Styela clava: one gene and its partner. The protein of the gene in region 1 interacts with the protein of each later gene in a pairwise test. Links are inferred from orthologs where the notes say so. Each region holds a gene or a part of one and is shown in the gene's direction. Other genes may lie near its edges. The genes, in order: syntaxin-16-like and alpha-soluble NSF attachment protein-like.

What was found.
Region 2: the proteins of syntaxin-16-like (region 1) and alpha-soluble NSF attachment protein-like interact in a two-hybrid assay, tested with the Drosophila melanogaster proteins (2 studies listed by BioGRID). The link is inferred for Styela clava from reciprocal best matches to the Drosophila melanogaster genes Syx16 and alphaSnap.

Annotation. Positions count from the first base shown.
Region 1 is NC_135251.1:18,712,377-18,729,500, reverse strand, and holds syntaxin-16-like, read left to right. Parts: upstream 1-8,705; 5' UTR 8,706-8,775; coding exon 8,776-9,711; 3' UTR 9,712-11,714; downstream 11,715-17,124. Other genes in the region: condensin-2 complex subunit H2-like, read left to right, coding at 392-2,194; ribosomal protein S6 kinase delta-1-like, read left to right, coding at 11,820-11,939, 12,696-12,731, 13,337-13,454, 13,841-13,956, 14,255-14,351, 15,499-15,582.
Region 2 is NC_135261.1:11,682,935-11,700,092, forward strand, and holds alpha-soluble NSF attachment protein-like, read left to right. Parts: upstream 1-9,311; 5' UTR 9,312-9,356; coding exon 9,357-9,506; intron 9,507-10,589; coding exon 10,590-10,748; intron 10,749-11,211; coding exon 11,212-11,334; intron 11,335-11,918; coding exon 11,919-12,145; intron 12,146-14,122; coding exon 14,123-14,345; 3' UTR 14,346-15,727; downstream 15,728-17,158. Other genes in the region: zinc finger BED domain-containing protein 5-like, read left to right, coding at 6,685-7,258, 7,747-8,171. UniProt on the Drosophila melanogaster protein: Required for vesicular transport between the endoplasmic reticulum and the Golgi apparatus. Also between the endosome and phagosome.

The DNA of each region.
Region 1 (17,124 bases):
AAAAGTTGGACTTTAGATTTACTTTTTGCTGCATTAAGGGCTTTACTACTGTACTACAATTTTCTATAATTGTACATCACAGTAAAAGACTATATACAGATATATTGTCCTTTTATGTATACAATCTGACAATTCATGGAAAAGTAAGGAAAGAATGTATTTTGAAATTCTGATATGTGAAAAATGCCTAGTGACGGGTGTTAAATAAAATTCTTTCCCTAATGCTGTAATGAGTCTTATGAGTGTAATTCAGCAATTTCTGCAACCTTTACTAATCACAGCTGAGTGATGGTTCTTTTTCACTGTATTTTTTTATCATGGTATATTTCTGTTTAATCAAGTTGCAATCATTGTTTCCTCATAAGATAATTAGAGGAACCTAAACGTAAATATGGTGTTATCAGAAGATCTTCAGAAAAAGTATGGCTTCTTGCTACAGCCAATAAAGGATATTACTAAGAATTGGGAAATAGATTTAACACATGTTTTGGAAGAATATATGGAAGAATTAGAAAAAATGACTTTTGAATTTGACAATGGAAAAACTGTGCTTAATTTTGCGGAAGCATCCTTGCTCATTCAAGGTACAGCCTGTGTATGGAGTAAAAAAGTTGAATACTTATATGTTCTTGTAAAACAGACGCTAGAAATGATCACAAACAGACAGAAAGAGGTTCCCGATGAAAATCCCAACAATTCTTCTAGTGATAAAACTATTGATCCCAATTTTGACGATGATGAAGAAAAATTGCTAAATCTGAATGATGTTGCAATAACTTCGAAAAGAGAATTCACTTCGAATTATGACCCAATTACACCTATTCCTATAACCCCTACAGCAATGCTTGAAAATGATAATGATGAAAGAGGAAGATTGATATTGTCTGAAAACAAGAATGACTCCGTTTGTTACACAAATGATTTTTGGGAGAATCGATTTATCCCATTTGAAAAAAGAATGAGTGTTCTTGATAGAGATTCAGGTGGGTTTTTGGATGAAATTATTGTTCCATCATTAGAAGAATTAGAAATTGCTCCGATGAACATTTTTTCTCGGTCTGAAGAACCTGTGGAGACAAATTCTGTCCGAGAAGAAATGGATAATTTTGGTGGAATGGACGAGTCCATGGATGCAGGAGCTGCTGCTGATGACATGGATGATGCTCCTCCATTCGTTGAAAATTTAGAACAAGAAAAAACTGTTATAGAAAGAATGCAGTTAAGAGAAAGGTTTCTTGCCAAGCCTGTACCCATACATGAAACCCCAGTTTTTCCCACCATCCTTGATCCACATGAGCATTGTAGAATACCTTGCTTTGCGGTCAAAAAATATGAAAAAATCAGGTCCCATTGTATTCCAGCTTCTATTCGCCAATCTAAAACCACTAGAAAAAGAAAGATTAACAGCCCGACTGTGGATAAAGTTGAAGAAATATCACTTTTCATAATGAACAAAGGTTACAAGAAAAGGAGAGACATTAAGTATCATGACAAATGTCTTGAGAAATTCATAGCTGCAGAAACTAAAGAAAGAGCTTTACTTTGGAAAAATATAAAACTATTAGCTATGACAAGTGATGTTGACCATTCACTTGGAATGCCTGGAAAAGATGTAGGCCCTGATGCGGTGTTTGGCGAAGAAGAACAACTTGAACCAATGAATCATGACTCGACAATACATTCGGATCATTTTTCACCTGACCTAGATGACCTTATTGGTGATGTGGTAGATAATCAAGGCAAGGGGAATCATACTGCACATGAAACTGTAAGCAGTCCCACTTCTTATGAAGACCTCGTTCGCCACCATGTTGAAATGTTCTATTCTGCTGCTAGGCGTTTCAAAGAAGAAACTGCGTTGTCACAAAGAGTAAAGTTATGGGATGAATCTATTACTCCACGTCTTGCAGAACAAAATTCAAGACCGGAATTTGACATCCATAAGTATGGAGGAATGATGCTGAAAAAATTTGAAAAGCCACAAGATACTAAATTATTTGAAGATGCTATTGAATCGCCAAATTCATGGTACATTTGTAGACTATTTGCAGCTACATTGCAGCTTGTTAATGACAACAATTTTCTTATAAGTAAAGATTCTGATTTCCAAAAGTCTGTTAACACAATGAAATTAACGCTGTTGAGTCATCATAGACTCTGTGAACGTTTTGATGATTATTCTTCGAAATCCTAAATTTTGATGAAAAACGTCTAGTCGTCTTATATTTTCGGTTTTAAAAAGTTTTATTAGGTAAATCACGCCCTAAAAAGTTTATTGTTTATGATCATTGCTATTCTGTTTTTTCTTTATTTCAGCCTCACAAATTAGGCATTTTTGTTGATATTGGGAGTTATCTCAACTTTTGTGTTATTTCCAAGGGGTGGTTATCATTTTCACATTCACATATTTATTTTACTTCTTTTTTTTCACTTTTTATGGGCCATATCGAATCCAAGCCTCTTTTGATAGTCTCTTTGTATTTTTGCATTCAAACACATGTTGGGAAACATTGACACAAATTTGATTTGGTGCTTTGATTTAAGAAATTTTGTTAGTTAGTAAATTGTTGTAAAATAATATGCATCTGTTATATAGAATTTCTTTCTTCGATAAGGACGATAACCCACTAACACTTTCTCATTAAAAGCATTTCTCAAATAGATGGTCATTAGTCATTATCAATAGCTGACTCCGCCATAGTATAAAATCAATATAATAGAGAGAGAGAGAGAGTTTATTTGTTAGTTACACGCACAGAGGATGGAAATCCAAATGAGGTGAACCACCACAGGTGATTCAAGAAGTCTTAAATGAAATGTCATCTTGCACGTTCTTAGCCAACGCTTAATAATTTCATGGTTTATTTAGCAATGCAAGACAAGGGACAATGATGATGTTAATTTGGGTCATTGGGTATGCAGTACAATTTTACAAATAGCAACATCGTCATTATTTAACAAGCAGCATTGAGCGTAGTGTGAATGTTTCCCTGGTTGCAATGGGATACATTTAAAATCCGAAAAGAGCATGTATGTATGTATGTTTATTCGTCTCGTAAAAGCAATATAAAAGAGTAAGTAATTATAAATACTGAAGACCGGATGTATGCACAAGACCATATTGGCCTAAAACACAAATGTGCGGCATACACCCCTTTTGATATATATAAATTATAATAGGGTAAATCAAATATGTACAATATGGTCCTTTATACAGGCAGTTGTGCAAGGAGGGTGGGTGGGTGTGGAGTGTACAAAACTGTTTGTACAAAGGAGTTTGTTAGACAAAACAACATCTATAAATAGAGACACAACACAACATGAAACACACTGCATATGAATATAGTAATAAAAAAAAATTAAGAATTTGGATGAATGTACAACACCATTGAGTTATGATACCACATACTATAAAACGCGGGAATGGTCAAGTTTAAAGGGTGTGTACATATATGGTATGCACCACATTTTACCATGTCATGGATTTTCCAATGTAAATTAAAATAATAAAATTATATGGTATCCTGGGATGAGCAGAAGACCGGATTATATTTGCAGTAAAAAGAAACTAGGTAGATCACTGAAGATTTTGGACTCCTTAAGCGCCAAAGTATATCATGCAAAAACTATGGAAATAGATTAATATAGAACATTACCGTACTAATTTCTCGTTCATTGATTACAAGTAACGCAATGAAATTCGCAAGAAAGATTTAATTTCGCAAATAATGTCAATTATTGCACTATTGAATCGAGACTTCGATCTTTCCATGTTAAATTTGCTTTGCGAGCAGTACCTACAAATGACCTATTATTTAGGATAAATAAGACATCAAGTCCGAAATGTACATTTTGTGAAAGGAGTGTTGAAACCGTGTTACATTTATTTTATTTCTGTGAATTTGTGCAACAATTATGGGAAATAGTTAATGCATGGCTAACTGTTGAATATGGTTTAAATCCTAATCTGACATATAGAGAAATTTTAATGGGGGTAGAGCAAAACCAAGGTATAAACTGTGTTTTATTGAGTGCAAGATATTATATCTATAAATGTAAACTACGTAATGAGAGGCCTCAATTTGATCAATTTTTACTGTGAAAAAATGATTGCAACTAGAAAATGTAAACTGTCGAACCACATTAGGAAGTGGAAAGTTATCATGAACTCATTTTTTTAAAGAGCAATTGTGTTTATGTGTTATATCGTGTGGATAAAAAGTGATGTTTTTATTAATAAAAAAAAAAAAAAAAATAATGTCGACGCTATAAAACATTGAAGTTTTGAGGGTCAGTAAACAAGACCGGTTCGGTCACCGAGGCTCCTGACCAATGCTGTGTATAAGAAATCTGTCAGATAAAGCAATAAAACTAAACAAAACGTTTTTCAAGTGAGGTCGTACAAAGCTCTCAAAGTGCTCCGTACGAAGCCCCAGGGCTCCGTGAGAGAAACCTAATGCTCCGCGGGCTACTGTCCAAAGACGCAATAACGGCATTAATAAAATGTGACAACAGTAGCGTCGAAATATCGCAAAGCGGTAATTCAAATATGACATTATCTACAAGCAGGAGCGAGCCAGGATTTTAAAAGAGAGGTGGTGGGTGTTCAAAATTGGAATCGGAAATTCTCGCGCAACATTCTTCGCGATTAGGCCACTCGTTAAAAAAGACTTTTTCAGCAGATAACGAGTTTTCTGTTGCGTAAAATATTCAATCTATAGCCGACGCGAGCACGATAATTTAATTGTGTTCATCGCTACTCGTTTTTACGTCTATATTACGATTACTAATAAAATGAAAGATTACTATTCTAAAATAACATAAAAAACGTTCTCAACTGCCAAGTACCAATTATAAATAGATGGAAATCGTATTTTTACGATCTTGGGATTCGTCAAATTGGATTTGATCTTTCAGCACTGAAGATTATTTTTAAGCAAGATAAAATCTCAAGGTCGGCGTTAAAACCTCCATGAGTACAACTCACAATTGCGCAATCCCTGACCGATGGGGGCATGTTTAAAATGCCGTGTTTTTTGGCTTAATTGTGTTCAATGTAACCTGCGATTGCGTCGACTTACGACAACATAAAATCATCACTGCTCAGAATCACCGCGGCATCCGCGGACATGGAATGAGAATCAAAGTTGCCGCATAACCTGGATGACGCTGTTGTCGTAAGATATTAGAAGTAATGTAAAGCATAATCATGACTGATTGTATGGCAGATTACAGCAATTTAGCGAACTCGACAAATTTGAGTCGTTCCTATAACGCTGACTCCCTATCGCATGTCTGTCACTCAGATTCTTTCAAAGATATATATCACCGTTTGAAAAATCACAAAATACGGATGATTAAAATTTATTTTATTGCAATAAAAAATTGATTGAAATACTTTACATTAATTATCTTATATATCGTCACATATCGAGAAAAAGTCGCATGCGGCTAAGTCGGTGCCCAATTAACTATGTTTCGATTTCTGTTAATACCGTATAATTTCCAAAGAAAACCTAAAATAACACCAAATTTTGTTATTAACATTGTCTTAAAAAGCTTTTTCAATAGACCTTTCCCCGAGCATCGACTTCCTTGTTTACTTCGTGACATTGGCCAATCTGGAAGATGCAAAAAGTGACGTAACAATGCTCCCTTTTCGCATCCGCTCAGACACATTTCTCACTCTGACAGATTTTCAAGCGTGGTCGTAAACATTACCTCGTTTTCGCGTTCTTGAACTCTATTCGTTAGTTTTCAGTTGTGTTTCGGAAGCTCAAATATAAATCAGGTAATTCAATCTGTCTTCTTAGGGGTTTTACTTTAATTGCAGTAATAAAAAATTAGGGTTCCATTACATTTGAACCCACGTACATTTGAACCCATGACAATTGCACCTGTATGCTATTGCACCAATGAAATTTTTTTTGTTTCACGAATAGTTAAACCCATACTACCCTAACCCATGGGTTTTAGCACCGGCATATAGGTTGAACCCGTGGATATACGCATGGGTTCAAATGTACGTGGGTTCAAATGTACGGTCACCAAAAATTAGTGTAGAAATGGTTCCATTGCATTTGAACCCACGTACATTTGAACCCATGACAATTGCACCTGTATGCTATTGCACCTATGAAATTTTTTTTGTTTTTCGGATAGTTGAACCCATACTAACCCTAACCCATGGGTTTTAGCACCCACATATAGATTAAACCCGTGGATATACACATGGGTTCAAATGTACGTGGGTTCAAATGTATGGTCGGTCACCTGTAGAAATAGCTATGATAGACTAGGCTAAAAAAATTTACCGGTACTTTTAAAAAAACAGATTGTTGTATGCGATGAATCATAATGATAATTTGAAACACATACCTCATTTTACAGTCGCCAACTCGCAAAAGCACTCTTAAGTTAGCCCCGAAAATTCTGCAATGGTAAAGTATAGGAAGAATTTTTCCGGTGTCAAAGGTCGGAAAAATGTCCATTTGTCACGAGTCCGCTAAAACAAAACTTATGGTGTTATCTGTTTTAAGTTTTAGTTTTAATATTTTATAATGCCGCTTTTCATTCAAGAAATTTGGGTTGCGTATACACCCCTTTATTAATTATTCTTAGCATATCGTCGCCGATGATATATAATATACTAACTTGTTTTTCACACTGAACCAACGACTAGATACCGCACTGAACTCATAATTCCACACCAGAACAAAAAGCAATTATCGTCTTCCTCGTGGAACAATTTATGCATATGCCGATGAAAATTTGTGATTGAAGGAGAATAAACACCGACGTGCAAATGTTTACGGACTAAAAAACATATCAAACCGACGAAAATAATCGGCGATTTTATCAAGATGCAATCGCGCACGTTATTAGCGATTTTTCAGTCTTCAAAAATATCAGAAGGGAGGTTCGACCCCGAATTTATTAATATGTTTGTTCAGTGTCAAATTTACAGCCTTAATATATATAATTTATCTGTGAAATTTAGATTTATTCATGGCTGGTATTAACCCTATTAAAAGGTTAGTCATTGAAATTGAGTAAAATAATTTTAACCAACTAAGGAATATTAATTGCCTAATTGGTAAGTAACAATTTTAAAATTTATTGTGGGGCTCCGTGAATAATAGTCATCCTCTTCAGGGGCTCCGTAACACCAAAAGTTTGAGAACCCCTGGTCTAACAATGTATGTAATATGAAAAATCACGCGGCATGCAACTACAGAGAGCTTTTGCTCATTAAACGATCCACTTTGCATAAAATGAGTCCGCGCATTTGTAAACAACTGGTCAACGTTGACTGGTAACCGGGCGAGAGACCGTGGTACGCCTTATGATTAAGCCAGAGCCATTACATAATGTCCCTGATTAAGCCGTCTCGCGGGATATCCTTCTCCGCCAGGATAAAATAATGATCCCTATTCAAAAGATAAACACTAAACACACTAAAATTTAGCTGGTGGGTGAGTGGGCGTGTGTCGCTCCTAAACTTAACACTGTAATAACCTATTTTGTATATAAATTACTCGGTATGTTAGTCGTTGATATTACTATAACATTATGTGCTCTGTATATGGACGTTTTGCTCGCTCACCCAAACTAGCCAATTTCTATGTGTGCCTATTCATTGCGCGATGTGGGAGATGTAGCTGCTTTCAGACTCCTGCCACTGCCTGGGTAATCGTCGCCGTTCATCTACGCTTGTGACCTGTTAAGTGCAAGCAGCTGACTTGACGATATTTTCTATTTGACTTGTGAAGGTATTTCGGAATTTGTTTTATTATGATTTTTAAGTTAGGTTGTTGTGGTACCGGTATTGGTAACAAGAGTATGCAGTACGGTTGTACGACAGGCCAGAAGCAGTCTGATGGGGACGATTTTAAGTTGGCTTTTAATAAATGATTTCTGTTGTTTATTTTCAATGCTGAGTATTTTTATTTACACAACGTAAAATGTTCATATGCTTATTTCAATTTCTCGACACTAAATACAGAAGTATGAATGTTAATATCAATCAATCTTATTTTGGTCACTCTGAAAGAAACAAAACTACAACAAACGGACAAACAAAATGCAGAGGACCTGGAGGACGGGTATAACTTAATAAAAAAGTTAAAAGCGTACAAGTAGTCTACGTGCCCGTCCACCAAAAACAGTCAAAAGAACACAATAAAATAAAGACACATGCAAAATCGGGCAATACGGTACCTTTTGAATCAATTTTAAAATGTGAGACACTGATCAAAAGAAGATCATGGAAACACTTTATACAAACTAGAATTAAAAAATTAACAAAAAAAATTGTGGCTGCGGTTCTTATGTGGTGATTACAGAAGATATTGATTGTTCAGTGAAATTTTATCACATAACAAATGTAAATCACGAGAAAATGAACTATGTACAGATGTATGTGAGAAAGTGGCATGCATAGACTTGAGGGCTTGCTGATTGCATTCTTGTATGGCTGTTTTTGATGAAAATGATATATGAAATGATAACCTCCAGTCAAACGCTATGCTGTAAAGTGTAACTAAATAAAATACGATTAAAAGGACGTTTCTAGAATTGATAGGATGGAATGCATGACTGTGGTATGTGTATCATAACAGTGCTTTTCTTACAAAAATATGAAATAAAAAACACCATCAGCTAACTTAAGAGCGAATAGGTGAAAGCATCAAACAGTCTGAACGATTTTTACTCTTAATTTATCATATTTTTATATTAATTACCGTAATATAGCCTAGTAGTCTACATATCATAATGTTGACGAGATCTCTCACTGACGCATTTATACTCATGCGCAATAATGCGCTACAAAATCGTCATATGTTTTGGCAACGACAAGATGTTGAGTACGATGCAGATGAAAATGACGAAGTCTCTTTGATATCTAATCGAAAAGGACAAAATTCAATGCAGTTGAAAAGTCTTCCACCAAGATGGTTATCGACAGTCGAAGAAATCAAAGAAGGAATCAGCCAAATCAAATTAAAAATGGAAGAATTATCAGCTCACCATCACAAACATCTTAATCGTCCAACGTTAGATGATGATGTTGAAGAAGAACAAACTATTGAAATCTTGACTCAAGAAATAACACATTTATTTTACAGCTGCAATCAGAGCGTTAAAATTCTGTCTAACCTTTCAAAAAAAGCTTCCAAGCATGAGAAATTGATGTCAAAAAATGTTGTTTCGGCTATGGCTTCTTCATTACAAAATGTATCAAATGATTTTCGACACAGTCAATCTTCTTATTTGAAAAAGTTGAAAGCAAGAGAAGATAGGTCGAGACATTTTTTTGACTCTGATAATGCGATTATGGTCGAACACAGTGAAATGGATATCGATGATGAAACATTTGAACGAGGGTTTTCTACAACGCAATCTGCTCTTGTTGAAACGAATAGTCGTATCATTGAAGAACGTGAAGAAGAAATTCAAAAGGTCGTTCAAAGTATCTCAGATTTGGCGGAAATATTTAGAGATTTGAGTAACATTGTAGTGGAGCAAGGAACTGTTCTTGACAGAATTGATTATAATGTTGAAAACTCTGTTATGAAAACGGACGAAGGAGTAAAACAATTACAAAAAGCGGAGAAATACCAAAAGAAAAACAAAAAACTTTATGTTATCTTTGTACTATCAATTATAACGGCAATAATGCTAATTATCTTAATTATAAAAAAGGGTTGATTTTTTATTCATATCTATTTTAAATATGTGATGTATTCTACTATTTAGTTAACTAGTTGTGTGATGTAAGCAAATGTGCAATGACTTTGATAGATGTGTGTGTGTGTGAGTTATTCTAACTCTGCACTTGATGTATCATAAGGTAGTACTTATCATACCATATTAAATGCTGGTATTATTCATCCATGGTGTTGGTCTTTTATCACTCATTTTCATCAAATTTCATTTGCCCACTGATCCTAAAATCTGAATACTATTTTGTAATTATAAAATGATTTAACTCGGCTTCACTTCACCCTGGTTGAAATAAATCGGGTAAGCATTACTGAAGTGTAAATCAGCCTCTGCTTATGTGGAGCCTTGTTTGGAGCGGAATTCTTAAAAATCACATAAAAATGTGATGTCCTTTTCATTTTTTCAAATGACTCTACAGATTCAGATTGTAGCGTGTCTCCCATATTGTTTGTATTTGCACATGCTTATTTGGTCTGTATCACTACTGGCTGATAGCATGTCAGCTGCTGTGCTTTTAAAACATAGTAAAAAGTGAATTTCAGGGCCAGGAAATTCTTCAAATCGTGCATTGCTCTGAACCTAAATAATCATGAACAAGTGGTAACATAATATCAAGAATAAACATGAAACTGCCACCATGGGTTATGTACTGATGTTATGATTTTCTGTACGGAAATAGAGCTGTTTATAATGATTATACAGACTTTCTATGGTTTTATATTCACTTATGCAGATCCACCTAGAGACAAGGGTCTATCGCGTTTGTATGTACTAAAATCATTCCAGTTTGGCATATTCTATACATTTTATTCGGTGGATATGGATCATTGGATCAGAAAGCAGAAACCTAAAATGGCAAGAAATCTTATTTACCATGATAATACGCGGAATTTCATCAACCGATCAAACGTCTGGCTAAATAACACTGTATGACCTGACTATAGTTTTTTGTTTTATATTAACATTGTTAATGCACTGCTAGTTTTTTTTATGTGCCAGGAATTCCAGTAAAATTTACAACTTAGTTCTAAATATTATTGTACATTTATTTTTTAAATAACTATATTTCTTGCTAATTTTACCCACTTTATCAGTTGTGTTATATTAATTTAAAGTTGTAGAGCCGTGATGTCTTGAGGAGGTCTATTTAACTTCATTATGACTTCACCTCAACCTAACCCTAGAATAGAAAATTTGAAAACAGCAGAATTTGTACTTTTACTTCAGGTTGAGAAAATTCTGGTCAGTCCTGCTTCAATGATTCCCACTGGGAACAGAGTCAGAATTGCACTGAAGTTTTGATTTATTTGTGTCATTAGTATAATGCTTATTAGTTCACTCATCTTTGGTGGGCAAAATGGGCTTTAGTTTAAAATTATTTTTGCTTCAAGGTTACTAATTTATTGTTTAACTCTGACCTGCTAGTCAATAGGTATAATTTACATTGCTTTAGTTCTACTTCATGTTTGTGTCGTGTCTTATTTTTATACTTGAAAAATTAAATTTTTAATGGTTCCTAAGTAATTCAAGAGCTTTGCTGGTCGCTGCACACTAACATACAGTAAATATATTTTTTGTAACGTTTTGTCGGACCAAGGTCAGACATAATTCAACTACAACAAAATGAGAAATTGCATACTCGTCCAAACAATGAGTGTTATGCCATGTGTTATATATTTGAAGCCATTGAATATGGGTATTGGTAAATACCAAAAGAGATGAATAGAACATGAAAATTACAAGGTGGAATAGTACTATAGTAGCTTGGATTCTGAAAACTGACTGAAGTCCCAAGTCCCATTTGTATGCATAGAAAATGTATAAGATCTGTCGAAAAATGAGTCTTGATATTTGTCTTTTTTTCTTTTTGCCAACTTGAAAAATTGGGTATGAGGATATTTTCCATCGTGTAATTCTTATTTTCTGTCCTTCGTTTTCCCATATTTTGGGCACAAAGTTATTTTATATGTGTATTTTCATCATTTAGACTCATTGTCAGTGGTTTTAGTAAATATAATGACATGAATCTGTAGGATTGGGATTATAAAATAACGGGCAGCAATATGTGTGGAAGACACCTGTAGCAGTGGCGAATGGCAAGTCGTGGTGGGATTTATTCTGATAAGAGAAAGAAGGAGGTGATACCACAATATTTTGTGAAAGAAGCTCGACATCATCCAGACGGTTTCACAGTTTATAAAGTCATTCGTAGGGTAAGATTTCAATGAACAAAAATAGCATAAAGCCTGTTCAAGAATTGTAGGCGATGAGTATTCACTATTTGGTAAATTATGTTCGAAAATATATGGTTTATTGATCGTAAACGCATAAATTGGCCCCCAAAACAACAATACTTCTGTCATTTGGGACATATTCTAGAGACAACATAACTCTTGTGCAAAGTGTCCTGGATTATTGAAACTCTTCAGCACAGACATAAATAAACAGGAGTTTCAAGGTTCTGTTTTTGGGTACCTGTACTTGATTTTTTCTGATAAAGATCATGCTATATTTGTTTACTTCAATACTAACTCGTTGAACAAAAACCTTGTGACTCTGTCATATATGCACACGATAGAAATAGCAAAAACACAAATTGCATATAGCGAGAAGATCATTGCAAATTCTCTTACAACAATCTAATCTCAATCTTACTTAGAACAGTTTCAAAAATTTTGATCACAAAAGTTTTTGAATGCTTTGTGTATAGGCATTACATCGCCTTCATGTTATACTTTTCCCATTTACCAATAGGAAACCAATGTTTGAATTAATTTTGTTGAACTGGTGACCCATCGCAAATCCTTTATCAAACTTCATGTTTATGTGAGCTTTGTATTGTCACTGAATAGAAAACTGGTGTAATTGTTAAACTATAGTATCCTGTGACTGACCTATCTTTTTATGTCAAATTGTAAACAGCGACAATGTCCTGTGCTTCAGAGATTTATATAGATTTAATTTTGCAGGTGCCTGATCCTACTTCGTTCGACTGTTTTAAAGAGGTGTGTATGTTTTCTTTATGCATTTTTTCCATCGTTATGTTGTGCTATCTGGGCACCAGGTGTGAGTTTTAGTGTTGGACTGCAAAGTGTTGAAAGCAATTCGTGATGAGAAATTCTTCTATAGAAATAGTTTTAACTTAAAGGTGCTCTAACTATGGTTTTGCTATCAAAAGTGGAGATGTCAGAATTAGGTTGAATACATTTAATCGTTTTTTAAAAAAACAGCTTTTAGACTTGGGATTTTTACACGACATATTCATATGCCCTTCAGTCCAAATAAGTCCCTTTAAAAGAAGCTACTTCTGTTAGGAAGAACCAGAATGATTCGGGGGTTGGCATTTTCTACCCAATTTGTTACACCCTGGGTGAGGTGATGGGCATGGAATTTGAACTCGAGTAAAATGGTAAAGTAAAGTAAACACTTCAACACAAATAATTTGAGGATCTTTTTGCATAGATGTTTGCAAATGCATTGTTTCTTTATAATAGTAAGTCAAGTTTCTATTAGCAAATATATTTTGAGCAAATTGCCCCCTTTTCATAGTTTGTCATATAATGAAATTTCATTGGTGATGTAAATTGAAATAATTGTTTCTAATTTTCAGAGTTTTGTTTGGAAACGATACAGCGACTTCAAAGATCTGTATAAATGTCTCGTTTTATTGCACAAAAAACTTTTTCTTAATGGAAAACCACCAGAGTTTGCAAAACCGAAGTTGTTTGGTGAGTTTAGCATTCATTTATAAATATAGTTCATTTGAGAGACGATTTTTTTCAAAATCCAATCCTCTTTGCCTATTTTGGGTCTCTTTAGTTCTCCCTCACTATGGGTCTTTCCTCATTTGTTTGTTTTTTGAAGGTGTTACTCGCAGCTCCCACTCCGGCTTGACATAGTTTAAAAAAGTATACAAAATGCTGAATAAGCAGTTGTTGGTAAAATCACAAAACAAAAGAATTATCGGTACTCATTGATTGGGAAACACTAGGTTAAACTGTACTGTAGCACTGTAACTGTACCACTTGCACTCATCCCTGAGATTCTTATAATTATTATACTAATTGTAATTGTTGCAATCCAGATTTTAAGTTTGTACACATTTGAACTACAGGTCGCTTTGAAGAGAGTGTTGTCCGAGAAAGACAGAAAAGTGCAGAGGATGTGTTGAATTTTGCAACCCAGCATCCACCTTTATGCAGATCAGTTGCTTTTAAAGAGTTTTTCCAGGTATCTATGCACTAAGTTAGAATCAATTGATGATGAAGTGCGAGCGGATTGCTGGACTCTTTATTGTTGTAGGGTGGTTCATATAACCAGTGGGTGGCTATTGCCTTCTCCATCATCAGGTTCATGCATCTAAATCAACTGGTTGATGATTGTCATACTTGACATGGACTGGTAACCAGACGAGTGGTTCGCCATATGAATAAGATGCCTTATTGGATTCCCTCTCCCCTGGGATAAATAAAAAAATCCTATCAAATTGTGTATTCAAAAATGAAACACAATACCATTTTTTTTGTAGTACCTTCAGCCCATCGACTCAACTTCTGAAATTCGTTATCTCAAACAATCTCCATTGAAACCAAGTAAAGAAAAGAAAGAAGTGGATGACAGTGACAGTATGATGACAATTTTATTGCTTTATGCTTTTCCTATTGTTGTCTATTTTATATTAAAAGCCTCGCCATCCTGAAGATGCATAATATGTGCCTAAAGGTATCTTACTGTGGAGGTACTATCAGTCTATTGACTTATGTTAAGTAATTGCAAGGTTGGTGATTACATTGTTGAAGTATGTGCTCGGTATTTTGTGATGGCCAATTATTCATAACTAACAATTTTTTATATGAAGTTTTCTATGCCGTTTGCTCTGAATGAGGCACTAATATCTAGTAATATGTGCGGAGTCCAGTAGCTTTCCAATTCAGCATTGCCAACCATATTGGATGAGCTGGGGGACACGGGATTTGAACCCAAGTGTAACATTCTAATGCTAAGTCTTATGCTTCAAGTATAGGTTATTTTGATATTTTCCTTAGGCTGGAAACTTTTAAATCGTATCAGACAATAGGTATTGTCCAATATTATTCTATTATGCCTTTAATATGTACAATTATTTGGAATCACTGCATATGGCCACTTATACATTAGATATAATGTGCCATTATAATATATATAATATATCACATAATATTATTATAATATAAAAGTTGATACTGATATCACTTTATATGTGAATTGCGGTAGATGATAATATCTAACAAATATAATTCACAGCTTTTTTTTAACAATTTTTTGTTATAATTTAGCCATCTTTGGTCATCTAACTAGAGTAATGTTATTTTAAATGGAACAAAAAATTTTCTTCACTTAACTTGTGTTTTCAAAACTGTATATACATATTTTCAATGAATGTTTTACTTTAATTAAGTATTCGATATTTTAAATTATGGAAAGTATTATATACATGGTGAGGGTGACCCACAAAAATAAAATTCTGGTCATTTGGAACTACCAGAGAACATAACTTTTGTGCAAACCTTTTAGATTACTGAGACGTTCGGATACAATCATACACTATCAGAAGTGAAGTGAAATTTCTAAGATATGTTTATTTGCATGCATGTATAAATAATCCCTTGTTATATTTCTCCTATTATTCCATACTATTGATTTTTCAATATTAGAAATCAGCAGAATCGGTTGCTTTTAATCCCTCTATTTTGATCAACTGGTGAGGCCATACTAATTCAATAACCATTTTAGATTTGCTGCAGTCAGATCAGACAACAAAATCACAATTGTCTCATAGAGATTTGGAATTATTTGATCCATTTCTTACAACCAAAGGTAGGTTTCTATTCCTCATATATATTTGTAACAAATCAATAAAGTCAAAGTTTGCATTTTATTATTTTTTGTCTTTATTATTATTTATATGTTTCCAGTTCTATAAAAAATGCCATTGCTTTGTATCACATGCTCACAGCACAAGTTTTAATACATTTTGAGTAATTTCTATTCTAATATCTTTCACTAATATAAAAACCTTATTTTCTTCGTCATTTTGTCCGTATTTTTGTCGCATAGCCTACTTCTGCATGATTGTTTAGAAGGGATCTGACCTGACAGATATAAGGTCGGATAGCATTTTTGTTGTGTATAATATCATTAAATTTCTATATCAAAAATCAGTGACCTGACGCTTAGTACTTGATATGAACTAAACACAGTTTGAGTACTTTCAATAGTCTTCACACCAGCTCTTGTATGAGTGCTAATATCTGAAGAGGTACATTTGTTTCATTCCTATTATAAAAGATCAATGATGATTTATAGATAGAAGTGCTTTGTGGTGTGTCCCATTTTAGTGATGAGTAAGTAGCAGTGGAAATTTAGACTGGTTTGTTGTTAGCACAGAGGACAGAAATCAATATCAGACATTGTTTGTTGTCGTAGTTGTTGCATGGGTTAGAAATAGTCGAATAGCTAATTTGAGAATACCGTGTATGCTAAGTTTGTGATTGAGGAAATTTGGTAATTTTGAAATGATAGTGTTTCAGATATTAAACTTTATATTGTAGTATTAGAACTCTCATTCATGTTAAAATAATATCAGAATAATTATTGTGTATTTGTATACAGAGCATATCATGTCAAAAAATTTCATTTGAAACAAAATTTGTTAAGTATTGGTTTGAAACAGTATTACATGCCTCATGAGTTTGTATTATAATACAAACTATCATTTTTATTTTGGAACTTTTGCTATGCAAATGAGTTTACGTTTAATTAATGTTAATGACCAACATTTGGTAAAATTATTATTTCCATATTCCGAATGTTAGAAAACTGTATATTTTGCAAGCAAATGGAGACTCTATTCTATAAAGTTAAATGGCATTTGTATGTTATTCAATATTTAATGAAATATCCCATTTTTCATGGAAATATTCAGTCATATTCTTGAAATAATAAGTTTGTTAATACTAAAATATTGAAAAAAATAAAAAAATATGTTTAAATTTTGAAAATTCAACTCTATGAAATTTACATCAGATGTTCAGACCAATAACACTTATTTCACTTCTGAATTCTGATTACTGTAGAAAACCAGTTGGAACAGTTTAAATTTTACTGCATTATAAAAATCAATCTCGATTTGTAATAATTTCCCCATTGAAAATTATCCCATTAGAATATATTCGATATTTCAATTTTCATATTAAAAATTTTTATTTAGAAATGGTTTAGTGGGATTTTGCCATCATTTTGCTATACATTCCAAAATGCTCTGAATTCCTATGGGTGTAATAACGATTGTACACTGACAATTATGAAATAATGTTAATTAGTAAACAACACAGTCATTTCCATACTCAAGTGCTTTAT
Region 2 (17,158 bases), on another chromosome or scaffold:
TAATATTTGACAGACATTATCTTCATAATTTCCCTCTAGATGTGTTTCCATGCCAAAAACCCATCTGGTGACAGCAAATCATTCTTCAAAAGCGAGTTTCGAGCCGTCTGCAAAAATTTATGTTTTAGTTACGGTATTTTGAAATAAATTGCCTCGTACTCCATCTAAGCATGTATGTGTTTATATATAAGTATAACAGCCACTTGCACAAAGTATTATTTGAAACAAAAATGTGAATACTCCACAAAACAAATTATTGGAATTAATAAAATGTAACGATTTCGGGAGAAATATTATTGCGTTCAATAAATGTGGTGGATTTTGCAGTAGCAAAAAAGTTATTGCTATCAATCACTAATCAATAATTTAAAAACACTCGACTCGTTAAAATAATTCAAAATATTTTGGCACATTTAAAGTTATAAATATATATGTTGAAGCCATGTTCAGATAATACCAATAATAGGTATCCAATTTATGTAAAAAAGTTATTAGTACCAGCCTGAAATCAAGCAAAATGGATTATCATGGCAAGAGTAAAATACCTCTTATGTTGTAATATGCAGCTGGTGACTTCGTATACAATGACAGAATGAGTCTGGGAAAGAATTATCAAGATCAGTAGTACTCCATCATAAAACACTAATTAATTGAAGTTAAATTATGTGTGTTTAATTTATGTTTTCCATACAGACATCGCTCACCACATTTTTTTTGCTGACAGTTTTAGTTGCCCCACCAAAAACTTCCATTGATATGGTGTAAACTAATTCTGATTTTTAAGATAAAGCATCACCATTAGTCAATCTATATTCTTGCTTACCGCTTTGATCACACAGCATGAATTCTCATACTGCAATTTTTTTATGATCCTTTTCTTCCTGAAAATATACATAGGATATCTTTTATCAAAATTTACATTTCTTGACAAATCATTACTGTATTGGGTACCTATAAGAACATTTACAACTTGCTCTTTTTTTATGATGAACAAGCTTTAAAGGGAATTTAGAATCTTACTGTCAATGTGCTTTCGAGTGCTGGACCAGTCCTCAGGTCCCAGGGCCTCCACACTCAATTGATTGTTCCTCTATTTTGTTTCGTAATCTGCATTCTATCTGTTCTATAGTCAAGTATATTGTGTAATATACCATATGCAAAATAAACTTGAATATTTATAAGTCACTCCCTTGATCTTGACGCGAGACAGCACCGTCAGAACACAAAAAAATGAAAAACGTCTAGGCCGCGAGCCGAGGCCCTGAAAAACGCCTAGAAAGTGAGTTTCGTAGCGCACATCAGGTAACTACCTGAAAATGATTTTAAAATGTTCCTTAAAAATTCAGTAACAAATATTGCCTTGTTCCCACTTCCAAAAGTTGCACGTTTTACGGAAAAGACGCTTTTACTACAAGAAATATGTGCTACGATCTGTCCTATATTCTCTACATTTTCGGCACTGAACAATGACTTCTGCATGACGTAACAATTGAATTAAACCAGCTGTTAGCGAGCGGATGAATATCAGTTATTTCTGCTCGACCTTGCGCTGAGTTGGGCAGGCTTTCCATAGCCCTGTTTAGTTATTATTAGTTAAGTTATGCTAAGACGTTGTTGAAAAATGTATAAGTAAATTATTAAACACTTGTAGATCCTTACCACGGATATGGGCCGTGAGACGAAACCATGAAAACGCCCAGAAAATGAGTTTCGTAGCGCACATCTGGTAACTAAATAAATTCTTCAGTTTTGTGTGAAAACGAACATAATGAACGCATTACAGCTTGTTCCACAATCCTGGTGCGAAATTGAATATAAGAGGTTCCCGGAAATTCAATAACCATAAGTTTACAACGCATTCATAAGAACTATACAATTCGAGAGCACTACAGCACACTAACACAAATGTATTCCTGTAATGTTTTGCCTGACCAAAATCGGACTTCCTCAGTCAATCATAATTTATTAGGTAGATTACGAAAAATATGGCATACATGTAACCAACAACAAAAAATACTTTAATTGTGTGACAGGAGTCGGGAGTGACCTCGAAAGCAGCGACACCAACAACGCTGATTCACATTTTAGAATAAATTTTATGTAATAACCACAAGCAGTTTACAACAAGAACAGCATAAAAAGCTACATCCATTTTATAGAAGCTATCAAGTATCAAACGTATTTATTTTTAAGCAATGAAGTCACAAATTAACATCGTGAGCACGAAAACACAAATAAATCAGTTATTTCTCACTTAGAAATTTACCGCAAAAGTCAAGAAAATTAAATGAATGTACAATATGTACATAACATAGTGAACAGAAATATTACAATTTACAATTAATCTTTTTTTAGTTTATGTGGTTATGTATTTGAACAAAGGCAATAATATTTCTAGAAACAGGACTACGACACTAACAAATGTCCGAAAAAAAAACAAATGTATGATACTTATTAAATCAACTGTAATATCTAATTCACTTTCTTCTGAATTGTTTTCGAAATCCACTATCTCAAAAATCGACTTTTCCTCTATAGGTGTACTGTGATTTCTGCAGTCAATACAAAAACAAAAATCTGTGCAATTTAAGTTGATTTTGGCACACTTTCATAAATTATTTTGACTATTTTTCTTTGCAGTTTGACAACTCAAGAACTGATTTGAGGGCCACATGCTTCTTCAGTGAATCATTGTTGGGTGGAGAGTATAATCCTTATGTTTGACAGTGTTAAATAGACGTGCCCTGGTATCATTTACATTCTTCATATCCTCTTCAAATTCCTCAGCTTTATTTATTAATACCTCGTTAACCTCAAAAGATCTTCATAGTCGAGGGAAAAAAAAGAATTGAAAATCTCAATGAAGTCTCCAACATGAATTTGATGGGCAGTTCCAATTGCAGAAAAGTGCTAAAGTATTTCAATATGAATAGCCCATCTAAGCTGTTGGCAACTATTATGATTCTCATATACCTTTAAGCTTCAAGACTTCTTGTTTAATCCATTTTATAGCACTGATAGCAGCGGGGATCAGAGCCTGCGTTAGGTCGGATTGGTGGAACATTGCCGTTTTCTTTTGTAGTACAGTATCTAAAATAAGGAAGAAAATAATATTTGGAGCAGCATGATTTTAAAAATACCCCTAAATACTAACTAATACCTTGAATACATACCGTAATGCATTTTATCTGATGTACTAAATGAGCGTATATATGCTCATTGCATGTTCTACAGTCCAGCAGTGTTTGCATACCATTACTAGACTATATCTACACTAAATTTTGATATATCACAGTCTGAAATGTCCCATGACAGTACAGCAGTATGAGTATGGACTAGGCTATAGACTATATTTTGAAACATCAACTGTTTGTCTACAACTTCATTTCTCACCTCTCAATCATTTCCAATGCTACCGTACCTTTCTTTCCACTCCGGCATAACTTATGATTGCTTCCCAGGTTCTTGTCGACTCTATGAATTTAGATTTAGACTAACCGACATTAGTAAAATTGATTAATTTCTTCTCTTTCACACAACCGTGCATTACAGAAACAGCCATTCATTTCTATTTCCAAATATGCTGTGGCCTATATAGTAGTATAAGTCTGCTGAATAGTCAAGAAGAGTCATTAAATTAATCATAAACATTTCATGCAAGCCAGAAAATATCGTTGTTTGTGACATATTATTCTAGGTCTAGCCTTCCTTGGAGTTACCGCACCGTACCGGTACCTATTTAACAACGTCTTATGAGCTAGTGCTCAACTAAAATTGCTATTTATGGCAAGGATATACAAGTGTTTAATATCTTACCTATACTTTTCAACACCTCCTTAGAATAACTGGACTAATATTACCGGTAACTGAAAAAAACTATGGAAAGGCTACTCAACGCAAAAGCGAGCAGTTGAGTACATCTGATATTCATCCGACCACTGGGGATCCACCTACAGCTGACTAACTTGACTGTTACGTCGTGCAGAAGTCTGCGTTCATTGGCCCATGATACCGGAAAAGCAGAGAAAATAGGACAGATGGTAACACATATTTATTGTAGTAAAAGCGTCTTTTCTGTAAAACGTGCAACTTTTGTAAGTGGGAACAAGGCAATATTTGTTACTAAATTTCTAAGGAACATTTTAAAATCATTTTCAGGTAGTTACCTGATGTGCGCTACGAAACTGAAAGATAAATGTCCTCGGCTCGCGGCCTAGTCGCTCGATGATTTTCGAAGCAATAATCTGTCAGAACCAAGTCGTGCGTGGCGGCGAATCCAACATCGGGACCAAATTTCCGGAGTTGCACGGGGTTGCCCTAACCAACGACTAAGGGCCACTGAGGTGTATATACAACTCAATGCCAAGGACTAACCGGTATGTCAGTCGTTGGGACTAACAGAGAAACCATGTGTCATCTATAGCAGTGCTCTTCAACCGGGTATACTGTATACCTAAGTGTATACCAGACCATAAGTAGGGTATACAATAGGGTTGCCATACCGTCCGGAAAATTCCGGACATGTCCGGAATTTAGGGTTAAATTTTGCGTCCGGGAGGAATTTAAAAAAATGCTCAAATGTCCGGAATTTTACTGCATCTGCAATCGTAATGTGCACACCGCTAATACAGAACATTGTTATTTCGTACCGTGCGCATATTTTTACTACGAGGTTGTATGAAATTGTAATATAACAGAGCGTTTTCCTTATCAATGGTGTTAAAGTTGCAAACTTTGCAAATGCTTTTAGTACTTGTGCAAATGGATAAAACCAATGGAAGAGTTTACTTATTTCAAATGGATAACCTTGAACGAGATACCAAGTTGGAAGGATGTAAAGCAGGGGTTGGCAACCTACGGCCCGCAGGCCGGATCCGGTCCGCGGAGCAATATAATCCGGCCCGCGACGCTTCACTGGATTATAGTAACAAAACAGCTGTTTTAACGATTATATTCTTTACATAACAGAATTAATTTTGCGACACGCGTAGGCTAAATTATGTTATAACCTTATAGCAACTTACCCCCAAATGTACCCCATTTCATGTTAAAAATATGAAAACAAAGTTAATTTCTCTCAAAATTCGAACAAAGACTTTCGTAGGAATCAAATTACACCAGGTTTAAGAACATAACAAGTTCCACCCAGTCATTATCAAATTAAAATCTATATTCTCAAGACCTTTGGCACTGATTGAAATAATTATATCTAAGTTCCCATCCGTACGATGTACATAATTACCCTTGTTGAGATAATAGGAATTTCTGTTTATAACGTGAATCACGAGCTCACGTTTACAGCATTTAATTGGATTTATGATCAACGTATAAATATGACTCCGATATCTTTCGATAAGGAGATGGAAAAGAGGGAAGACGATGTAAATTGTAAACCATTCAAAGCTAGTGTGGATAAATGTTATAAGATTTATATTCTGTGTATCGTGGAAATCTGAGAATAAAATCAAACAGAGTTTTCTAAAGTTTCCTTCATTCACGTGGGCGTTGAAGCTGAAGGGTGAACGGGTAACTTGCAAGTCAGAGACAATCTACGAAATAGCAATATACGGTAATATCATATTCATCTAACAATCATTTATGCTATAACCTAACAAGTATATAATTCACAATTGCACGTTTAATGACCCTATAATTTAATTATAATTACTCAAATGGCAACAAAACGCAGAAAAGTTGATGCTTAGCGCAAATGGTTTAATGGTGCAGAAAATATTCCAATGGTCAGTCTTCGTGCACTGCTCTAAATTTAACTTCTAATCTGTGTGAAAAAGTGTGATTCATCGGCTATCCGTTCGGTTTTCAACATTCTAAAAATATGAGGCCCGCCAATGACTTGCAACCTTTGGTTTTGGCCCGCGAGCGACAAAAGGTTGCCGACCCCTGATGTAAAGCCTTGCCTGGAAAATCTGATTAGTAAACGGGTTGATGTGGACGATGATAAATGATTTGACCAATTCTGTAACTTGAAGCAGTTTGTGGAAAGTTACCTACAAGACGAAGAATTTATTAAACTGCCAACGCATGAGAAATGGTGCAAATATTTCGATCAGTCTACGAACATCACATGCCACTCCGAAATTTTAAGGATTGAACAGTTTTCCTTTGCTATTACATCCCACAATGCCAATATTGTAGAGAGAGTCTTTTCACTGATGCAAAGTCAGTGGACTAAAGAGAGAAACAATTTGCGACTATAAAAGGCATGTTGACTCCCCAATATAATTTCAAAGATATGCACTGTAGTGAATTGTTTTCATTTTTGAAATCAGACAAGGAGAGAATGAGGTCTTCAGAAAAATTTGCATGGTCAGGAGAGTAAGTTTGTAGTGATTGTCTTTAATTCGTTTTAAGCATGTAATTGCTGTTCTTCCGTTTTGGCACAATCTAATTCTCATTCTTATTTTTCACTCTGAAGTTGAGATTTTTTCAGTCGACGGCCCGTAGCTATATTTAGAGTGTGCTTACCTGCCTGGTGTGAGATTCTGCTTGTAACTGAAGACAATACTTTTCATTTCGGTAGCTGGCGCTTTAGCATGAGTATCGTACAACGTTAGCATGAGTATCGTACGGCCTTAGCATTTCGGTAGCGCATATATATGGTCTCATGAAAATAGGGACCTCCTGAAAGAAGTATGTGCACCAAGATGGCGATAACATCACATGATGAAAGTTAAACGCCCGTACACAGAACTTGAACGTGTAGTGCTACCTTGTTTAGAAATTGTGGCTGACTTGATTCATGGTGGAACAAAAGCAGTTGACAAGGTCAAAAAAATTGCTGTTTCTGACACTACTGTATGGCGACGATGTGCCGTTATATCCGCAGATTTAAAAGAACAACTAATTCAGAAGTTACTAGAAGCCTCCTCCTTTGGCATTCAGTTGGATGAAAGCACTGATATAAGCAGTGAGTCTCAGCTCATGGTGTTCTGTAGATTTCCGGACATAAAATCTAACAGGATAGTTGAACATTATCTATTTTGTCAACCAGTTGAAGAAAAGGCAACTGCTGAAGCAATTTTCAATAAAATAAACGAGTTCTTTGAAGAAGAAGGGTTAGATTGGTCAAAGTGCAAATCGGTTACAACAGATGGAGCAGCAGCTATGCGAGGCTCACAGAAAGGTTTGATCGAGAGAATTAAGCGAAAGTCTCCAGAATGCATAGGAATTCATTGTATTCTCCACCGCGAGGCATTAGTAACAAAGAAACTTGAACTGAATGCAGGTGACGCTAGTGGTAGGATAGGATTTACATATTTATCCCGGGGGAGAGGAAAGCCGATAAGACGGCTTATCCATATGGCGAACCACGGCCTCTCGTCCGGTTACCATTCCAAGTCGGGTATGGGATTAGTTTTTACTGTATTGTTTGTTTTCGGAAGCATGGACTTGGTGGTGGAGGAAGCCGTAACCGACCAGCGGTTACGTGAACCACCCAACGACGGCGAGGAGTCCAGCAATCCTCTCGCACATAACCATCCCTGCATGGGATTCGAACCTGCGAACCCACGCAGAGTAATTAGAGGTGCGGTGGCGAGCGTATTCCTAACGCTTAGCCCGTTGAGCCACACCGCCGCGCCGGTAAAGAAAATGAATTACACGATGTTCTACGGGAGGTCGTATATTTTGTGAATACGATCAAGAAAAGTTCAAAACAAACGAGACTTTTCTCGAAACTATGCGAGGAAACAGCCGCCACTTCCAAAAAACTTCTTTTACATTCAGAAGTACGGTGGCTGTCCCGAGGAAAAGTTCTTTCTCGTGTGTTTGAACTTCGAGAACAATTAGGGGCGTATTACACTGAACGAGGAGACCAAAAAGCCAACAGGTTTCGTAATATATATTGGATTGCAAAATTAGCGTACATGGCGTCGATTTTTGATCGTTTGAATCAAGTGAACGTCAGTCTTCAAGGGAAGGGAGGTGATATATTTCGATCGACTAGCAAAATCAATGCTCTGAAGATGAAAATTCAACTCTGGAAAAATAATGCTTCTTCGAGAAACTTCATTGACTTTCCCCTGTTAAGTCAATATTTGAAAGAGTCTGGGTGGGAGTTTGAGGACGTTTCAACGATAAATACCATGGTTATGAACGAATTGCCGAAACTATGCAAGAACAAAGAAGCCACTGAAACTACACTAAATTAATTGCGTCTGTCAGTAAAAACTAAAAGAAGCATTTATAATGACTCGCCCCGCCACTTCGATTTTAGTTTTTATACAATCTGTTCCTAACATTTATTGCTCATTTTAGCTTTAAATAAACATTGGTAATTGTAAGGTATACAAAGTTCTCGTAAAATTGTAAAAGGTATACCACGAAAAAAAAGGTTGGAGAACACTGATCTATAGTGTCATGGCAGCGTTAGGAGTGCTCGAAATAAGTAACACTAGAGGGACCAAAAGTGACTCAGTCATCATTATAAAAAGGACGAGCTCGATCAAAATAAACCTGCAGTATTTATTTCAGAGCTGCGGTTCTTTCAGTTCCGAATTTCTATAATTCTTTTTATTCTATAATTCAGATTCAGAACAGAACTTTGTATATTGAAATAGCTTGTTCAACTACAGAACTACCGGTACCGGTAACTTACCTGATAAATAAAATGAACAGTTACAGAATTACGATATATACCGTAACGTTACAGGTACCGGTATCTCTGTATACTACAGGGGTAGTCTACCGTAGTCCGTGTATACTGATACTGTGGTGTATAAGTATAACAGTAACGTATACGGTTATAAGTTTATTTCGACTCCATAATCAGCAATAGACAATTAAAATAATTGATAAAAACAAAATAAATAAAACTGATTATAGAATCGGGAAAGCAAACGAAACCTCAAGTAAGGTTTAAAGCGTACAGATTTTAGCCTAGTTCTGTAGGTGGGAAGTTATCGATAAAATAAGTACGGTACTTTAGTATGGTACCTAGTCTGGTGTTCGCTTACCGGTACCCAAAAGTATTAAAACTAATTAAGGCACGCACACACTGACATACAATCATCAAGACTGAAACATGATAAGATCGGGAGTAAAAAAAGCGAGAAAATAAAATCCAATTAGCCTACTCAGTAAAAAAGAAAAATATAGGGTACATGGTCTGGAAATACCGCCTTGGTTTTGCGGCAGCTGCAGACGCCACAGAATACTTAAAACTGCACTTGATGGAATTAGTCAACAAGAGTTATATAATGTGGATAGAAAAATATTCCTCAAAAGATATCATCAAGCTGATTACTGGTACTGTAAGTTCGTAACATTATATTTGTATATCTGTATTATAGTCTGATAGTATAAGTTAGATTTGTTACAAACATTAATATCGAACTATGGATAAAGAACAAGAGGCCTGCCAGTTGATGGCTGAGGCTGAGAAAAGCCTCAACTCATCAAAGGGATTTTTCTCTAAATTACTAGGATCTGGATCTAAACAAGAAGAAGCATGTGAAAAATTTGTTCGGGCAGCAAATATGTTTAAGGTGAATTTGTATGATATCTTTACATCTCAGCTTGTAGGCTACTGTACATCATTTCTTCTACTATCATTATTCTGATATTAGTTTTTAAAGTCAATAATTTTTGTAACAGTATGCAGTACCGTATGCCACAGTTCTCCGATTCCAAGATATCTTGACATTTTGTTCAATAAAACTTTTACTTGATTTGTCTATGAAACGAGGCCATCTGGCATGACGGCAGCTCAGGAAGGTTTTGACAATATTGGTTGATGTCCCTCCTTCATACCTTTCAATCATGTTTGGTGTCCTATTGGTGCAGTATTTATAGATAGCTTCTATAGCCTCACATGGTTTCACAATGCATGTTTAGTTTTGACTTGATACTGCTTGTGAAAACAAATCTGTGTGTGTGATTTCTATGTGGAATTTTACTCATCATAATAATACAAGAATTAAATTGATCAATTTAATCTGTTGCTTTAAGGAGAATACTTTGAAACATGCAGTAATTTTTTTTGATCTTCGATCCACTTTCAGTATACCTGATATCTTGGAGATCTTCATCCTGTCACAAACTATTTCCAAATAATACACAGCAGAAAATAGGTGTCACTTTATATGCGATCTCAGTAATTTAGTATTATGTTATTATCTGACCCTAAATTAACGGTGACATGGTTAGGTTCAGGAATTGAACTCAATGAAAAATTATGAAATTCGTTGAACGCATACGAAAGTGTCACCACAATTGATCCCACTTTAATATTCGATTGAGATCATGTGTGGCTAGTGAGATCACATACCAAAGTAGTTATTTGATGCTGAGATCGCATACCGAAATAGCATCAGAAAATACTATAAGTAATATCAAAATTTGTGTATCTTATGTTATTGGGTACGTGCATCTCAGCTCAGCTCAATTTTCTTAATTTGCCGATAAAACTGTAGTCTTTCCAATGTAGCATAAAATTATAACATATCTTATAAATCTATAAATTCAATTTGAATATGCATTTCATGCATTAATGACTTTTTACCGTATAGTAATTTCAGATCATAGGTTATCGTCGTTATATATAATTTTTCGTTTGTTCTTTGCTCCAGATGTTGAAAAAATGGAACGAAGCAGGAAATGCATTCTGTAAGTCTGCAGATATTCAACAATCACTACAGAATAAACACGAGTCGGCTTCCAATTTTGTTGATGCTGGGAATTGTTATAAAAAATCAGATGCAGATGCGGCTATCAAATGTTTGACAAGGGTGAGATGAACATATTATTGCTTAGTAGGATTGTACGTTTTTGGTTAGTTTAGTAAAAACTTTATTTTCGCATTAGAATCACAAAAAAATGATTTGTGTTATCTAGTTTTTTTGCAAAGAAATTTGATTTGATCAAAGATCCTGTTATTCTAGTAACAGGTAATAGGATACGAATAGTTTGAATTTTGAAGAATGGGAATTTATAATTTTGCTCATTTCCATTGCCTCCAGTAATTATAGAAGGTTTGTGCATTGGCTCGGCCATTTCCATTCCTTATTACGGTTAATAAATCGAAATATAATTAATTAAACTATGATAGCCAATGTCTTGCATTCATGCAAAACTATGCATAAATTTGTGTATAATGTTTCTATTCTAACTTTTATTTACAAATTGACTATCGCCACATAAAATAAATATACAAATGATTTTATGAAAACATAAAAATAATGTTTAATACAGGCTATTGATATTTATACTGATATGGGGAGATTTACAGTTGCTGCAAAACATCATATATCCGTTGCGGAAATTTATGAAAACGAGACTTCAAAACTTGAAGAAGCCATTTCTCATTATGAGCGAGTAGGTCTATTTTTTCACATATTCTTCTTATACATTTTATTATTTTGTTGTGTAAAATGACCATTCTGATTTTACAATTCGTTTGATGTTATTTCAGAATACAGCACAATGTTATTCACAAAAACTATCACTGATAATAAATAACATGTGAAAATTGGAGGCTGTATAATATTGATATGACTGGTAAATGTGTTTTTTAAAACTTCATGTATAATTTAAAGCCATTGACATAGAGATTTCGACTAATGGGTTCCGATATGGCTTGTATTAGGTTACAGATTTGATTTGATGGGGTAATAAAAATGATAGCACCAACATTATATGCCAGGTGTGAAAGTAAATTGTGAGTTCAAATAAAGTGGGAAGTTGGATGTTATTCGAATTTGTAATCTGAGCATTTATTAGAATTGATCTAGAATTAACTTAACATTGTACACCACTGATCATATACATTTTTGAAGATTCAAGAAAGTATTTTCAAACAACCTTGCAGGCAGCATAAAATGTTTTCTTTTAGGTTGGGCAGGCCTGCTCACTGTATAGTACTTCCACCACAATATTAACCAAAATTTCTGTTTGTATAGGCTGCAGATTTTTATAAGGGCGAAGATTCGACGAGTAGTGCAAATAAGTGCTGGTTGAAGGTGGCGGCCTATGCAGCTCAGCTTGAGCAATATACAAAAGCCATAGAATTATATGAGCGTGTTGGAATGTCATCAATGAATAGTCCGTTGTTAAAATATTCGGTGAAAGAGTACTTCTTCAAATCAGCACTCTGCCATTTTTGTTTGGGTGGAACAATCGATGCAATGTAAGTGATTTACATGTTACTATTGATTTATTGACTTAATAAATTGAGTCTAAATCTCATTAACTTTGAGGAAATATGAACTCACTCACAAGCACCTGAGTCGGGATGATCTGTACGGATTCAGTCTCCGAAAAATCTGTTAAATTGCCTTATCCAACTTACTGAATGCCTTTAGGTAGGATTATCAAAAATTTTATTTATAGAGAAAAATCACCATATTCATGATTATTCACAGTTGAATGAAAGCACTGAGAATTCTAGACGTCGTATTTACAATCGAGATTAAAACTATTAAGTTGGGGGCTGGGGCATTACAGCAGTGCCAAAGGTGACACTACCTTGACTACGGACTCATTCCATACCGTTCCAAATCCCCACGATGACAGTTCATAATTTATTAAGCGTGTCTGGCCATTTACAAATCGGGTATCAGTGAAGTAGGTGACTACCTTATCGTCTGTTTCTATAATGTTGACTTGTATAAAGTGGTTTGTACTATGGTGCAGCAGATGTTGGAATTTGATGTTCAAAATCAGCCATATTTTATTAATTTTATTCAAAGGAAATAGATAAAGCTTAATCATATGAAATGGTGATATTTTCGTACTAAATATCAGATATAAAAGTAACAGCGTTATCAACTCATTATCAGGGAATAAAAGTTTCAACTTTCAATCTTAAATAATCAGACCATTGTTTTTTTGTTAATCATATTTACGTCAATTATGATTATGAGATAATCACTCATTTCCTGACAATTGTTATTGTGAGTCAGAGAACTGTGAAAGCTGAAAAAGTCAGCTGACTATAAATAATTTAGTGTGGGATGCATACTTCAAATCACCTGGGTATCCTTGAATATGAATCATTTTACAAAGTATTTATTCAACTGGGTCTTTTAAAAAATATTGTGAATGAAGAATGAAATTCCTTGTGAGGGTTTACCAGAAGATAAGTCTCGAGCAACAACAGAACAGAAAAGTATATTTTGCTATCATCAAAGTGTTGAGACTTTCACATACTGGTTTATTAACCATGGAAGTGGACTTGTGGGGAAAAAATTCTTTTCTCTCCAGGACTCCAGCTAATGGATCAATCAATTTCAATCTGTAATTCTACTTTACTACTGTATCTATGTATTTGGTGATATAGTATGAGATTTCATAATATCAGCATAAATATATAAATGTGTGTAACTCATGCCTCTGATTACTGTAATATTCCTAATTTTTCTTGTCTTGGCTTCAACTGCTATCAGGTAATGTGGGTAAAAGTTGTTTTGACAGAAAAAAAATTTAGAATAATGATCAGATCTAATGCATTTGCAAAGACTATAAATTTACACCATTTTTACAATTTGATTCAAATTCAGTTCAAGTTTTTAATAGTTATAGATGGAAGTAGTCGAAAGAAAGCTATTACTTCAATTCTTTTTTTTCAAATTTTCTCACAGGTTTTATGAGGCTTGATATTTTATCTGAAAAGAAGACATTTTGTTCTGTATTACTAGTCCACCTTCATATCGTTCTTCTACAGTTCTACCCATGTTTTCGGCAAATACAGTGCTCTCAGTCCTTCCTCCACTGATTCACGATCTTCGTGTCTATGTATATGAGATTTTAGCATTACCCACTTATTATAATTGTGATAAAGATGATACTAAATGTCCAAAAGGCAATAGACTATTCTCAGCAACCTAAATTAGTGTTAGGGAGAAAATTGCTAAATATTGGAAGCAAACTATCAGAAATGTAATCCCTGTTTCGTTGCAATCTAATTAGATTCATCTATTTTATTCATGAGGTTCCAATTTAAATTGCCTGCCTTGCCTTGAAACAAGGGTTCGTGGTTTAGGGTAAATTACATGCGTCACTATCGGTAGGCCTAACTACATAGTCCGCACCATTTTAGTTTTTATTTATGTTAATTACTATTTTGTTCTGTGAGGCTTATTAATTTTATAATTTCTTCTTAAAGGCAATCATTGGAGAAATACGAAGGTCTCTTTCCAGCATTTTCTGACAGTAGAGAATGCCAATTGTTGAAGAGTTTAATCGAGACACATGACAACCAAAATTCTGATGCATTTGCGGAAGCAGTTGCAAAATATGATTCGATATCTCGCATTGACCAGTGGCTGACCACAATCCTTCTACGAATCAAAAAGACAATAGGGAATGATGATGAAGATCTTACATAGCTTTGTTTGACTTTAAACAGTATTTGAGATGAATTCTGGTACAAGTATTTGTTAATACTTAGTCTATTATATATAAATAATAATATTATAACAAGTTTACAGTCAAAACAAGAATCTTTCTCATTAATAATATATCATTGTAAAATATTCTAACTAAGAGGGTTTCTTGCTAAATAATTCAGGGCCCGAAAATTTCACTTCTATAATGAGCTACCAAGCATAAAGATTTCTTCATCAGTTGTTGTAGACTATTTTACTCATCAGGATAAAAATTTATTACGATCACCGGAACCTTGCCCTAATGATTTTTCCTCAAAGAAGGGCTTCACATTAATTTAAGATTACTCTTACGCCTAGAAAATATTTAATCATAAATATTTGAAAATGGCCATTCATTATGAACTTCATACATATTTCATACAGTTTTTATTAATAAAAATCACAGTAATAAATCCTATAAAAAATGATTTAAATTGTTATATCAGTGTAAACTAAGTGAGAAAAACCTGATTATAATCTGACTGTTAGATTGCTCGAAAATAAGGGAACAATGGACAAAAAGTCATGAATTTTTTCTATCATATATAATACAAATTCGACTATGGCTATTTTTTTCTGATCATAGCCTGCTTATTGTCTTATTTACATCTAAAAAGTAATTGATTTTATTTACTTTATCAAAGCAGTGATTTTATCCATTTCAACACCCCGGGCATGAACGTACATAATGTGTAAAGAAAATCCAATTGCGACTCTGAATTGTTGTAAGAAGCTTAATAATTTTTCACCTTAATGGTAAACAATTCACACAGTTTAATTCAACTCGGTAGACTATGTGATATCCATATCTTCATAAAAAGGATGATACATACAGTCCTAGGCAATGTTGTAAATTTGCCATGAATGAATGTTTATCCACTAAGTCTATAGTGTTAATATGGTGACATGTTGTCTGTCTATTTTGGGCATAAAGATATAGTTCTTCTGTTCATTTATATAGTATATACTATATAGCAATATTGGAGACCTTCGACCGTATTTGTCTAATTCTTTGCAGCGACTTTGTTCAATGCTAATGTTCGCAGGTTAGACCCTTGGGAGTACGTTTGATATTTTAGAGACTGTTGTTAGAATACATACAGCATAAAGTGCAATATTACCCCCAGAATGAGTAGATGAAACTGGGACTTTTGTGTACTTCCGTGGTTCCCGGTGTCCTTGATAACCCTTTAGATGACGCAGGTTGGAATTCGTACATACTTTACTGCGTCCTCTTATATTCTAATATAGAAACATGGTGGTCATCTGTGTGTGATATTATAACATTCTAGATTTAAGTCTCATTTTATGTGATTTGCATTCAATAAAAACTATCAAAAACATTCCAGTGGCTTGTTGTTTTTATTATCTAATCTGTTTTCAAAGTTGCTGGCCAAATGTAATCAATATATATAAGTGGATTAGTGATTGGTGGTGGTCTCAAAGTTTGTGATCAATATATTTTTATTTGTTATGGTATTGATTTACAAAATCTGTTCTTTTATATTGCAGGTTGATTTGAGCCATTTTAGGTACTGGTGGGTTTATAATATAACATATGTTGGTTTTATTTTCCCTTTCCATTAACCAAGGCCTATAAAAGCACTCTTTTTGATAGTAGGGCCAGTGGCATACTGTTAGTCGAAGCAACGATGGTTCTTTTTACTGCATTTCGCTATTGCAATATATTCACATCCAGTGGTCATAGGTCGTCATATTATTAGGCAGCCGGACAGGTAACGATTTTCCATGATAAATGTTAAGAAAATTAGCATGGAAACACAGGATTCCAAAGAGTGGACAACTCCTCTGGTAAACATGGATTACTCAGTCATCTGTTCCCAACCACCCATCTTGAAAGAGAATTCATATTTCTACATATCATATTATGATCTGTTTCCTGAAATTAATTATTTCAGTAAAAGTCATTTTTATTCAATTGGGTACATTTTATTGATTGTGGAACAAATAGGGCCAGGAGATTAACAGTTAAATGTTTAGGAATTGTTATACCCAATAACGAAAATTCCGAATAACATCAAATCGTAGGTTTAGGAGTTAACACTCAAACAGCATTCCCAACCTTTATGAAATGTTGACGCAGGAAGAATATCACGAATTGCAATGCTGGTAAGATAATCTTTTTAATGCAATTTGTATCGAATAACCTGAAGTGTCCAACTTTGTGTAATGGAAACAGAAATTGCTCTATATTGGAGATGCAATACGCAAGTGCAACTGCTCACATCACATTTTCTAATATAATATCAGTTAGCTAGATCGATATGGAACAGGGGTGTGCAACCTAAATGCAAAGAACCGGGTGAAACTGTGGGTTGCACCTTTATTTAACAGGGGCTTTGTGGTAGTTGCAGGAACAAAAATTTCGCTTATTGATCTTATGACACGCATTGCTTCGCACAAGCTTGCTGTTCGGGCATTTTATCATCATAATATATTGGACTAGGCCTCGGGTATAGACTTTGCAACACAAAGAGTTTGGAACTACTCGCGCATATCAGATTAAACTAAATTAAAAAATCGTTTCGCAAGCCGCACAATTTTTCTTTGTCTGCTGCCTTCAGTCCCGCAGGTGCCAGGTTTGCACACCCCTGATATAGAATACTGGAAACATTCTTTGTTATGCATACGCAGAAATCGAAACTTATTTATGTATACATGAAATAAAAGAAACCTAACCAATCTTTTTAAAGTTTAGCATTGAAAATGTTATTTATATTATTAAAATATCACTCAGGCAAACCCAAAGTAGC